Xenopus tropicalis: one gene and its partner. Each later gene encodes a partner of the first gene's protein in a complex. Links are inferred from orthologs where the notes say so. Each region holds a gene or a part of one and is shown in the gene's direction. Other genes may lie near its edges.

Region 1 (5,803 bases):
ACCCCGGGCTGGTGCCCCTGTTAGGAGAGAACCGCACCAGCCCGGGGTAGCTGCCAGCACTTCCTCGTTCCTGTCTTGCCGCGCGAGCATGCGCAGTAGAGTGAAAAGCCGAGCTTTAACAGAGAAGTCGACTTTTCACTCTACTGCGCATGCGATTGTCCGGGACATTTGGCAGCAGCGCAAGTTGGAAGGAGGAAGCGTTCTTTTCTCCTAACAGGGGCACCAGCCCGGGGTACAAGGTAGGCGATTTAAGGTACAGTGACTTTGCCTTTCCTTCTCCTTTAATACTGTTTTGCCTTTGACCTTTACCTAATCATTACATAACAAGAGGGAAAAGTAAGACCAAAGCCAATATGTGCTAAATTTTGACTGCAGTAGTCCTTACGTATTTGCTGTGTGTTTTTGAAAATTGGAAATTGACTAGCTGTTATACAGTTATTTGTGTTTCTCAGCCAGCTGTTAAAGAACAGAGCATTACAGAGAGTATTAAACTTACTCCCAGTAAAGCTCGTATATGAAAAAATTCTTGTGGAATGGGTTTATTCAAATGCTTATGTTACAGTGTGTTACTAATTTGTGTCTTTGGAAATTGTTACAATTTGCTGAAATTAGAATTAAAGAGTAGAGGCTGTGACACCAGGAATCTCTTCTTAACACATGGGGTGGAGTTTAGGCTGTACTAAGCTATCCCATGTGAAGTCTGTTACTGACTACTGAATCCTGGTGTCACTCTCTCCAGGTGACCAAAAAGGCCGGCTGAGAAACACATTCACAGGCTGCTAGGGCGTGTTCTGCAGGTCAGTGTCTTCTGAGCTTATTCTAGTTTTATAAAGTAATGCAATCTTGAATAACATGATGCTAAGATCTTATCTTTTGGAGGGCTGGAATTAAGGGAGAAGGGATTTTTGTTGTAGCGGAAATATTGTGCCTCAACTTGAGAGGAATAATTTACAGTTCCAACCTGTCACCATTTTGCTGTTTTTGAGCAAACCCCAGCACTCCTGATAATCTTTGAAAATCAATAGGATGTTTTGAAGTACTGTAACGACAGCATACTGGTTTACCCCCTTTATATACTACCAGTTTAATACACAATTTGGTCAGTGGTCTCTTCAAAAATTAGGGGTCCGGGTCCTCATTATTCTATCCTAAAACCAGCCCTTAAACTATCATAACCTGACATATTTGCCTTTACTGGGTAATATATGAATTTAATAAACCATTCCTCCAGCTTTAATATTTGGACCTTGTACTCTGGATTACAATAAGATAACTATCTAGAACAGGATTGTCACAGTTGGAAATCTTTGTTTGGACATGCTGACAAATGTAATTTACCATCTGTAAACATAATTCAGTATCATGCATGTTCACCGCCAGCAGTGGAAACACAGATAGAGGCCAGAAGCAACCAGTTCTTTTGTGTGCAGTATATGAATGGCATCAGCCTGTCATTGTGTACATGAACATTTTCTGCAAAAATCAGCTCCCATTTGCACAGTGACAGGCTGATGCTATTCATATCACTAGCCACACAGTGGAAATAGTGTATTGGCATTTTCTTTGCCAGCAAGAAACAGCATTGTGTGCCAGAGATGGAATATATGATGTTTTAGGCTGGAACTCTTCTTTATCTGTGCTTTTTCGGTGACTCCCTAACAAGGTGAATAAATGTGTTACGTTTAGGTCTGTACATGCTTTCCTAACACTCTAATAAATGTTTTGGCAGGAGCTTTATTGCAGAAATGACCCTGTATGTTAAGCAGCTTGGAAGAAGTAAGTTCCCCAACTAAATATGCCATATGTATAGAAGGCATCTACCTTTGTACTCTCTAAACCTTTTGTTTAATATTCAGGAATCACGGCAAGAGAACATGGATCTAATAAGAAATTGGCGGCACAATCTTGTGCCCTTTCAATTGTCCGTCAGCTGTATCATCTAAGTGTAATTGAACCATACTCAGGACTGACAAAGAAAAAGGAAGGGGAGGCTGTAAGTTCCTTGTAGATAACCATCTGCATTGTAAATATTGTTTTTTGTTATCTTTGGATTATAATTGTCTCAAATGCAAAGTTTGTGGGTAATCTTAATTGTGATTCATATAATTAACTTAATTTCATTAGGAATACCCCAAAAACATTCTGAAACAAACAGATGCTGCTGCTTCTAAAAATGCTGTTATTACTAAGATGATACTAATGTTTCTGTCTGGCAGGTGGAACCTTATCAAGTGAACTTAAATCCTGATGTGGTGAAACAGCTGCAGAGTACTATTCAGGAGCTAGGAATTGAGTTACCATATCCAGTAAGTGTTTTGTAGTGTGCGTTTTTTTTCCCCTTTCCCTTTTTTGCTTGTTTTAATATAATTGCTGTGTTTTTCCATAATAGCCCCAGGATCCTAGCCAACCTGTGTCCCTTAATTTGGGAAAACTGGTACACTTTGAGCCTTCACAGAAGCAGAGTCACTCTGGTGTGGTGCCATGGTCTCCCCCACAGGAAAACTGGAACCCATGGACAAGCAGCAACATTGATGAAGGACCTCTGGCATTTGTAAGTTTTGTAGTTTCAGAAAAATAAAATGGTTGAATTTGCCTTCTTTTGGGTTAAATTTTTAAAGTTACATTGGCATCTACTTTCTTTAAAGGCTCCCCAGGAGCAGATCAGTGCAGAATTAAAGAATGAACACATGTATCACATGCAAGATCCTAACATGAAACAGGTTGGTTGATTCAGTTTCTAGACTATGCAAAAGTTTTTATAATTGTGGCTTTTGCTAAGCCTAGCACCACTATTTTTTCTGAATGTTTACAGTGCTCAAGACTGAACTGTAAAAACATTTGTAATCTATAATGTATTCAATGGTGTTTTAATATGTATTCTTTCAGTGAGTTCTTGCCTTTCACTTTTTAGGTCTTGATTGATCGAGAGTCTCTTCCTGTTAAGAAATTTGAGGAGGAAATAATGCATGCTGTGCATAACAGCCCTGTTGTAATCATCCGTGGAGCAACAGGCTGTGGTAAAACTACACAGGTCCCACAATACATTCTGGATGAATGTATTCGCAATGATCGTGCAGCGCAGTGTAATATTGTGGTTACACAGGTATAGTTCTGGAAATCAATTCTATGTTACTTAAACATAAAATAACATAAATGATGCAGTGGGTAGTGAGGTCTTTTTTCCTTTTCTATAGCCTAGAAGGATCAGTGCAGTATCTGTTGCAGAACGTGTTGCTTTTGAAAGAGGGGAAGAGATTGGAAAAAGCTGTGGCTACAGTGTGCGTTTTGAATCTGTTCTTCCCCGTCCGCATGCCAGTATGCTTTTCTGCACTGTGGGTACGTATTGCTTAATAATGATGGTTTTCCTTGTACAGTTAATTTATTTTTCTCTTGACAATATTATTAATATTTTCAGGAGTCCTTTTGAGGAAACTGGAGGCTGGGATAAGAGGAATTAGCCATGTGATTGTGGATGAAATTCATGAGCGTGACATTAATGTAAGTTACTCATTAAAAATAATTGAAAGGTTGCTTGGCTATGTTGATCTAACTATAACATTTTAGTTAAAGACTAAATTTTCCCCTTCCCACTTAGGACCCTCAGGCTGAGTAGCCATCTCATGCCTATGTTAATTATTTATCTCTACCACTGTTCAACAATATCCTAAGAAATATTAGTATAGTGTATTAGAAAAAAAAATATCCAAGAAATATGCTACTTTGTTTGCTGCAGGTTTTTTAAGAAATGTTCTGTCTACATTTATTGTAAAAGATTTTCAGTTTTAAGGCCAGCTGTCCCTTTAATATCTATTGGCAGAAGTTAACTCTTATAGTAGAGTATTTATAGAGGCCTTACTCCGTACTGATGCTACTGCATAAGGAATATAGTGTAAAGAATTCACATCAATATTTATATACTTTTGTATATGTTTTATTACTACAAGTCTAAAGGACATGTGAACCCCAAAAATAATTTTTTGCCTAATAAGAGAAAACATAATTCTAAGAAACTTTCCAATATCAATTAATTAAAAAATATTAGTGCTTTAAAAGTTATTTGTAAATATAATTGCTATAGAAAGCAGCATTTGCTGAACTCCTGGTTGTTACTTTTGAAACATTATTACAAGTGCCAGGCTCCTCCAGCAAGGCAGGTCTGTAAAATCTGCTTGCGTTTGTTACATTGTTTCAGTCGCCAGAGCACCCAAGGCACAGAATGGAATTAATAGCAGTTATGTTTCCCCTGACACTTTAGTAACAGTTATCTATACAAATAACTAAAAAAAAAACCATTACAGATATGTAATAAATATATATTGCAAAGTTGCTTAGAATTAAGTTTTCTTTTATTAGGCAATTTTTTTTTTTTCGGGTTGACAAGTCCTTAAAGCTTTATGTTACATTAAACCTTCCCCAAAAGCACCTTTATAAAAAAAAAACTGATTATTTGGCTGTCAGGTTAATGGCACACTGTGCACTTTCTCTGCCCGTGACGCAAACACTGATGCTGCCCCACCCCACCTCTGCGCAGCAACAGGCATGGTTTCACCTTGTATCATTACTTTTAGCGCAGTCTATGTCTAGCATGGATAGACTTTTTTTAATGTACACCTCAAGCATTTGAAATGGTACTTGAATTACTTGGTCACAGATAGACAAAACATGGTATTAGCCTGCAAAAAACTAAAAACCTGCTGTGAACTTCACAATAAAGGTGTTTACAGGCTAATATAGCTTTATGTCAAAAGTTCTTTATCTTTTTTTTTTTTTTAGATCAGCTCCAATGATAGGTAGATTTGTTGCAGGGTATCTAGTTGTTATGCACCCATCCCAGTGGTTCTAGTCACTTACCTTCTGGTGGTCTACTTTGCCATAAAATGCGCTTGCCTGGGATATTAGGGAGGGAGCACAATCTCTTTTGGCTACATTCAGCTGAATGCATGTGTGGTAGAGTAAAATCAAAATGTATAAGTTAACCTTTACTATGCATGCACACATGCCTGGTATCAGAGAAGGAATTGCAAGGAAGGCAGCCATGGCAGTGACAATGGGAAGGTAGCAAGATTGCAGCTCCCTGACACCTGTATTGCTAAAAGTGGTAGATATCAGAATACCACTTAATAGTAAAAATTCCAAGTCCAGCTTAGGACTCCTCCAGTTACATGGATGTAGGAAAAACAATAGGTTACCTGAAAGCAGTTCTAATGTGTAGCACTAGCTCCTTCTAAAAGCTGCCTACACGCCGATATTACAATTAAAAAAATACATTTGTTTGTTCAAGAATACAAATTTAAATGGTAGAGTGAATTGCTATGTAAACAGTGTAATATAGAAATAAAAAGTACACCTTAAAAATCATGACTGAATCCCTTTAAGTTTTGCATGTGGGCTTTCATAACCTACTTTGTAGGCTATATAATTATAATTTGTTTGGCAGCAAAAGTACATATTAAATGCACAGTTTGTGTTTTATCTTTTAGACTGATTTTCTTCTGGTGGTACTTCGTGATGTGATTCAGGCTTTCCCAGATATCCGTGTTATACTCATGTCTGCTACTATTGACACTAGCATGTTCTGTGAATATTTCTTTAACTGCCCAATCATTGAGGTTTTTGGCCGAACATTTCCTGTACAAGGTAATCTAGATTACATTCTTTATTTCTTTATCTTCCACATGTTGTCCACAAAAAACAAAATATGGTTTCATGTTTACAAGATATGGTATCATGTTTTAAACACTGCTTATATGTGTGGGTTTTTTGTCTATTACCCCCACCCTGCAACAAATGCTGAGGTTTTGTT
Region 2 (6,354 bases), on another chromosome or scaffold:
TGCTTTTCTACCCTTTTCTCTACTCTCTTTCCTTCTGTTTGACTTCAGTCCACTGCTTATTTTCCTCTTTCTTTTACTGCACATTTCCACTGTTGGTCTTGAAACTTCTTTAAGCAGATCCTGTTGTTTTACCTTCTCTCTTTTTCCATTACCTCGTGTTACTTGTAAGCTCTATTGAGCAGTTCTCTATTTACCTCTTGTATCAGGTATCTGTTGTATATCTGTTTGTGATCAATGTATACACCCATCTATTATACCATGCTGTGGAATATAATAATAATTTTACCATGGCATTAAGGGTGCCTTCCCCTCCCTCCGTCCCCAGTCTCTCCCTCCCTCTCTCTCAGTTTACTAGCTGTACAGGTGCACCCAGAGTACCCCCATGTGTTGCTTTACACCCTGATCTGGCCCACCCTCTGACATCATAGGAGGCCATCTTGTGTCTGCTGCAGAAGCCCAACCCATGGCCCACTGGAGCATGGCAGACCATAAAGGGGCCCCCAAAATGTCTCTTCAACACAAACAACACACAACCTATAATAAACATAGTCAACATAATGCAGAAAAAAGACAGCATTTTAATACATAACAGTAATATTTTGTTTTGTCCATATAACACATAAAGACCTGGCAGGAGAGGACTGTGACCATGGCCTGATGCAGTTGGTGCCTTGCTGCGGAGGTTGTCTCGGCCCATTAAAGGAACAGTAACACCAAAAAATGTATATATTTCAAAGAAATTAAACTATAATGTACTGCTGCCCTGCACTGGTAAAAGTTGTGTGTTTGCTTCAGAAACATTACTAGAGTTTATATAAACCCTGGTGTGTAGCCATGGGGGCAGCCATTCAAAAGAAGAAAAGGCACAGGTTATATAGCAGCTAACAGATAAATCCTGTAGAATACAATGGTGTCTTATCTGTTATCGGCTATGTGCCTGTGCCTTTTCTCCAGCTTGAATGGCTGCCCCCATGGCTACACAGAAGCTTATTTATATAAACTATAGTAGTGTTTCTGAAGCAAACACCCCAGTTTTACCAGCGCAGGGCCACAGTACATTATATTTCAATTACTTTAAAACACTTTCATTTTTTGGTGTTACTGTTCCTTTAATAGACCAGTAATCAGTCAGTGTTGAACCATGAATTGTCAGCTCATACATCATTATTGATCTGACCTAACCAGTCAGAAAGACTAATTCATATTATTTAATTCTCATTTGCTTTTGTGGAGTTTTATTAAAATTATATGAGATAGATTTTAATGTGTCTTAAACTATCACATTTATATTAGTATTTGCGATGTGCATGCTGTTATTGCAGCTATGGAGCATACTGCAAGTTAGGCTGTGCAAGTGTACTGCTGATGTGACTATTCCCGCTATTATTAAAGCCCATTTATAAAACACTAATATACTCTGCTGTGTAATGTATTTGGGAAAATATAAGCAATAAGGCAGAAATTACACCATTGCGAAGAAACAAACAGAAATCAAGACATGAGGTCGGGGGGGCCTGCCCGTTAGACAATCCGAGGATTAGGAAATAAGCAATACGCCATACTTCCATAAAACCTTGGATTTGGACTCAGCGCCATAACAATAGACAGAGTCCGTTGCCTAAGCACAACCCCTTATATGAGTGATCTGGTATCATTACCTTCAGCTCATAAGGGCTGATGTGCCGGGAAACAGCTGAACTAAACACAAGTCAAATATTGAGGTACCTGCCCAATAGTTTATTGCATTTATCCTACCCCCCACACCTTACACTTTATTGATCACTGTTTATATCAGCCTTAGAGCTCAACAGCTACATCCCATCCAATAATGCAGACGCTAGAGGCAGAGACTAATCCCTCCAATCCTGTTATTGACATCTGCCTTAGCCAATAAGATTACAGAAGGAACACATCCAAACAGAGCGCGTCGATTCTTGATTGACAAGCCATTCGACCATACAACTGCAGAGTTTTTTACTAAACCCGTAGACTGACAAGCCAATTGACCAATAGGATAATAGCCAGGGCGGGATGTCTGCGATGATTAACCCGTCTGTAAGGCCATTGCCAGGCAGTTCGATCGGTAGCGGGAGCGGAGAGCGGACAGCAGGGAGCTCGAAAGGCAGCAGCCCCACCGCCGGCCTGAGTTACCATCAACACCCCGGGGGGAAGTTAAAGCGAGCCAACCGCCGGCCCGAGTCACCACCTCCGAAAGCAGCCAACTTACACCATCAAAGACACAATGAGCAGCGAGGTTGAAACACAACAGCAGCAGACAGTCGCATTGGAGGGCAAGGCCGGCCAGGAACCGGCGGCCACCGTGGGGGAGAAGAAGGTCATCGGTAAGTACGATTGAATTAGCATACGAGAGATGCCTCTCGGACACAGGCAGGGCTGGGTATTTGGCGCGTCAGGCTCAATATGACTACTACTCCCAGCATCCCCTGTGCAGTCACGTTGGTTAAGGCGATTACTAGATATTTGCACAAACAGGCGCGGTTATCTGTTTATTTATAGTGTGAGGGAGCGGTTTTCGCTTTTACTATAGGGCGCGGGTGAGTGGCGGTTACACCGACGTGGAGTGTCGTGCCACGCGGAGTTGTTGGTGACGGATCTCTGCCCCCCCCGGCGCCGTGACATCACCCCCCCCCCCGCAGCGCCGTGACATCATCCCTTCCTGTGTCCTGAGAGGAATAGGGCCTGTAACATGTCCGCCGCCGCCTGCGGCCTACACCCCCCCCACCTCCTCTTTTGTATGCCGCCGCGCCTTTGCTGGGTCCCCAGTAGCGCCTCTGGCCTCACGTTTGCTTTGCAAACATACGGGGGAGTGTGAGGGCCGTGATGGCGCTGGGAATTGGCGGCTCCGTGTGTCCCGGCTGCTCGGGTTGCGGCTCTGGCCCGGCTCCAGCCACGTGGTGTGTGAGTAGTTGTGGCACGGAGCTGCTCGTACCGCCTGGGCCTGAGCGGGAGGGGCATGAGAGCCATTTTAGTCTATCTTTGCACTCGGCTTGCTTAGTAGCAGCCTTTATAGCGCTTGGCAATAAACGGGGATTCTGGGAGTTGTAGTTTTTCATTTGAAAAAAAGAATTGACAACACTCTTATGGCCCCAAATAGCAATGTTTGTTTGCTGATGCCTTTAATTGTAATTCCGTGTGTTTATATAGCAGTGAGTGGGAATGCACACAACCAGTTGCATTACTTTCCCTCAGGAAATGTTGCTACCAGGGCCATGGGATAGGGCTTTGTTTTTGTTCCTCTTCCCCCATCCACCCCCATCCATCCTACTCAATGTAATTACTGTATAGCTGTGCCTGGCCCAGTAGCCATTGAAGTTGTATGTCCAGATAGCCATTAAACTAGCAGTGTTTATGTATTGCTTTGGCTTGTATCTCACTGGCTGCTGATCAATAAGTTGCATGTAACTAGTATTTATAATTTCTAATTATTTTTTTTTGTAAAAGTTAGCTTTCCAAACCACCACCCACCCCCTGTGTTTATGGTGCTACTGTGCTGCCAGAAAGTGATTGCTCTATTGTGCATATTAGATTGATCTTGTGCCTCACTCCAAACTAACGATTTTTTATTTTCTTTCAGCAACCAAGGTTTTGGGTACGGTCAAATGGTTTAATGTGCGCAATGGTTACGGCTTCATTAACAGGTGAGTTCATATTTCTGCCCCAACTTAGATTAGTAATTTGGTAAACTTGTTACAGCCTGCCTGACCCTTCGGGGCCATGCACGTGGTACTTCCCATAAATGCTTGTTTTAATATGGTTTAGCAAGTATATATTCCAGGATATGCGGTTAAGCAATACCAGAAGTTACTTAAATTACTTAACACTTGGGGAAGGCATAGTTTAAAAATGTTTTTATAGAGATGGGGAGCTGCTGTATTGCTTGCTTCCTAAGTAGCACTGCCTACCGGTTTCAGCGCTGTACTTCTATGAATGCCTGTGCCAAGAAAATGATCTTTGCCTGTCGCTGTTGTAGAAATTCAGATACACAACAAAAACAGTAATTGCACCCAGTAGCCAGGGCTGGCATGCTTTAATTCAGCTTTCCCTTATCCTTTCGACTGTATCTTAAGATTTTTCTGCTTTTTGAAAGGAAATGTACTTTTTTCACATAAACCAAATAAATCGGTTTGTTAAAAACAATTATATAAGATGGCTTCTTTCCTAAAATGTCAGAAATGAGCTATATGATGTGGGCTTTATGGAGAAAAAAAGGATGCTGGTTGAAATATATTTTCATTTGCCCATTCTTTGTCTAAAGGCAATGCTTTGTGGTTGGTAGAAAAAATGCCTTTCCAGCATTATTCCTATTTTTGTGCTTATGTTGCCTTTAGTGTTTGACCTATACATATAAATTAATTTGCACAGTACAAGCCTTTAATCTATTTTTGTTTTGTTTAGCTTTGTTGTGCTGTGAAAATTTCTACCTTTTGTCGTTAACATTTTGTTTTTATCCTTATAGGAATGACACCAAGGAAGATGTGTTTGTACACCAAGTAAGTATTCCACTTATCTGGGTTTTTTTTACAGATGTCTAGTCCAATCTAGTATAGAAAATGTATTCTATAACTTCTAATATGGTAACTTGTATTTGAGTATAGTGTTGATCAAAGCGGATTGCCTTGGTGTAATAAAAGAATGCATACTGAATAGAAAGTCATGACTGTTCCACAGTTGGATAGGACATTTTCCTACACCTTTTTATATTGCCATGGAACTAGATAGAGCAAAAGCAGATTTAATCAGTTTTCAGCATTTGTTCAGATTTCTTTTAATGTCTTTTTATTTAAAAAAAAAAATATATTTTTTTTAGACTGCCATCAAGAAGAATAACCCTAGGAAGTACCTTCGCAGTGTGGGAGATGGTGAAACTGTTGAGTTTGATGTAGTGGAGGGTGAAAAGGTAAGACTATCAAAAGGGTACGAGGATACGTTTTACACAAGCTACAAGTGTATATTTTTAGTCTTCAACATTTCTGAACTATATAACCTATACCAGAAATAGCATAATATTTTATACTGCCACTTGATCATATTAAATCATTGAAACTTGGTCATTTTGGTTACCATTTCTACATCCCTATGTCTGTTTTTAGTCTGTTACGTTAGTTGCATACAGCCCCATCTAGAGTTTGGAAACTGCCTACTGTATAACTTAGGTTTTTCATGGCTTAAAAAAACAAATAAACCCAGAAAATAGGCCACCCATTAAATTATAAAAGGAGGCAGGGGGGGGGGGGTTATGTAACTTTGTACATGTCCTCTGAAACCATATTATTAATGCGTTTATTTTTGTATAGGGTGCAGAGGCAGCTAATGTAACTGGTCCAGGGGGTGTTCCAGTCCAAGGCAGCAAATATGCAGCAGACCGTAATCATTTCAGGCGCTATCAGCGTCGCAGAGGTCCTCCACGTAACTACCAGCAAAATTACCAAAATAATGAAAGTGGAGAGAAGACAGAAGGGAATGAGAGTGCACCTGAAGGAGAGGGGGGTTCAAATCAGCAACGTCCATACCGCAGGAGACGTGTTCCACCATACTACTTGCGGAGACCATATGGGCGCAGACCACAATACTCAAATGCTCCTATTCAGGGAGAAGGTGCAGAGGTATTTATCTGTGTATACTTAATTACTAGCTAAGGTTAGAAATAGTGTAATAAAATTTTTACCTTGGAAAGTTCACTTTAAATGGTGATGCAGCAGGTAGCATTAAATGATGTTATTTTCCTTTTTTTTTTTTTTTCTGCAACTGGAATACTACGCAGAAATATTTTTCCCATATTGTTGTAGCATTTTATAGAAGTTTGTTCTTGCAGTTTTGTTGCTGCTTTAATAGGACTGTCCTGTGTTTCTATCTTTCTTTTTGGGTTTCCAGGTGGTTTTCATGCCACAGTGAATTTAATCCGTGTGTTTGTACTTTTGAAGTAGACAGGACTAAACCAGTTTGCCACTAGGAGCATTCACAATTAGACAAGACATTTTGATTAGCTTTTGAACTTGTTTTATTATAACCCCCTTTTCCAGGGATCAGATGGTCAAGGTTCTTCACAAGGTGATCAAGGTAGACCTGTGCGACAGAATATGTACAGAGGCTTCAGACCACGATTTCGCAGGTATTTCAAAGCTTTATTAGGAGGTCTTATTAGGGGCTTTTTTTTTTTTTTTTTAAATACTTAACTGAAGCTGCAGTCAAAACCTTAGACACTATATGTACCATGTCTTTTTGCTTTTTTGTGATTCCAGGGGACCACCACGGCAGAGACAACCCAGAGAAGAAGGAAATGAAGAGGACAAAGAAAATCAGGGGGATGAAACCCAGAGTCAGCAGGCACCTCAA

What was found.
Region 2: dhx9 (region 1) and ybx1 share a complex: the UniProt entries of both Homo sapiens proteins name them as parts of the coding region determinant (CRD)-mediated complex. The link is inferred for Xenopus tropicalis from reciprocal best matches to the Homo sapiens genes DHX9 and YBX1.

Annotation. Positions count from the first base shown.
Region 1 is NC_030680.2:100,156,906-100,162,708, reverse strand, and holds part of dhx9 (ATP-dependent RNA helicase A), read left to right. Parts: intron 1-739; exon of another isoform or gene 740-797; intron 798-1,729; coding exon 1,730-1,776; intron 1,777-1,856; coding exon 1,857-1,993; intron 1,994-2,216; coding exon 2,217-2,306; intron 2,307-2,389; coding exon 2,390-2,551; intron 2,552-2,645; coding exon 2,646-2,720; intron 2,721-2,911; coding exon 2,912-3,103; intron 3,104-3,194; coding exon 3,195-3,336; intron 3,337-3,415; coding exon 3,416-3,498; intron 3,499-5,480; coding exon 5,481-5,637; intron 5,638-5,803. UniProt on the Homo sapiens protein: Multifunctional ATP-dependent nucleic acid helicase that unwinds DNA and RNA in a 3' to 5' direction and that plays important roles in many processes, such as DNA replication, transcriptional activation, post-transcriptional RNA regulation, mRNA translation and RNA-mediated gene silencing.
Region 2 is NC_030683.2:94,732,537-94,738,890, reverse strand, and holds the start of ybx1 (nuclease-sensitive element-binding protein 1), read left to right. Parts: upstream 1-2,087; 5' UTR 2,088-2,242; coding exon 2,243-2,342; intron 2,343-3,595; coding exon 3,596-3,659; intron 3,660-4,477; coding exon 4,478-4,511; intron 4,512-4,828; coding exon 4,829-4,918; intron 4,919-5,315; coding exon 5,316-5,624; intron 5,625-6,041; coding exon 6,042-6,130; intron 6,131-6,260; coding exon 6,261-6,354. UniProt on the Homo sapiens protein: DNA- and RNA-binding protein involved in various processes, such as translational repression, RNA stabilization, mRNA splicing, DNA repair and transcription regulation.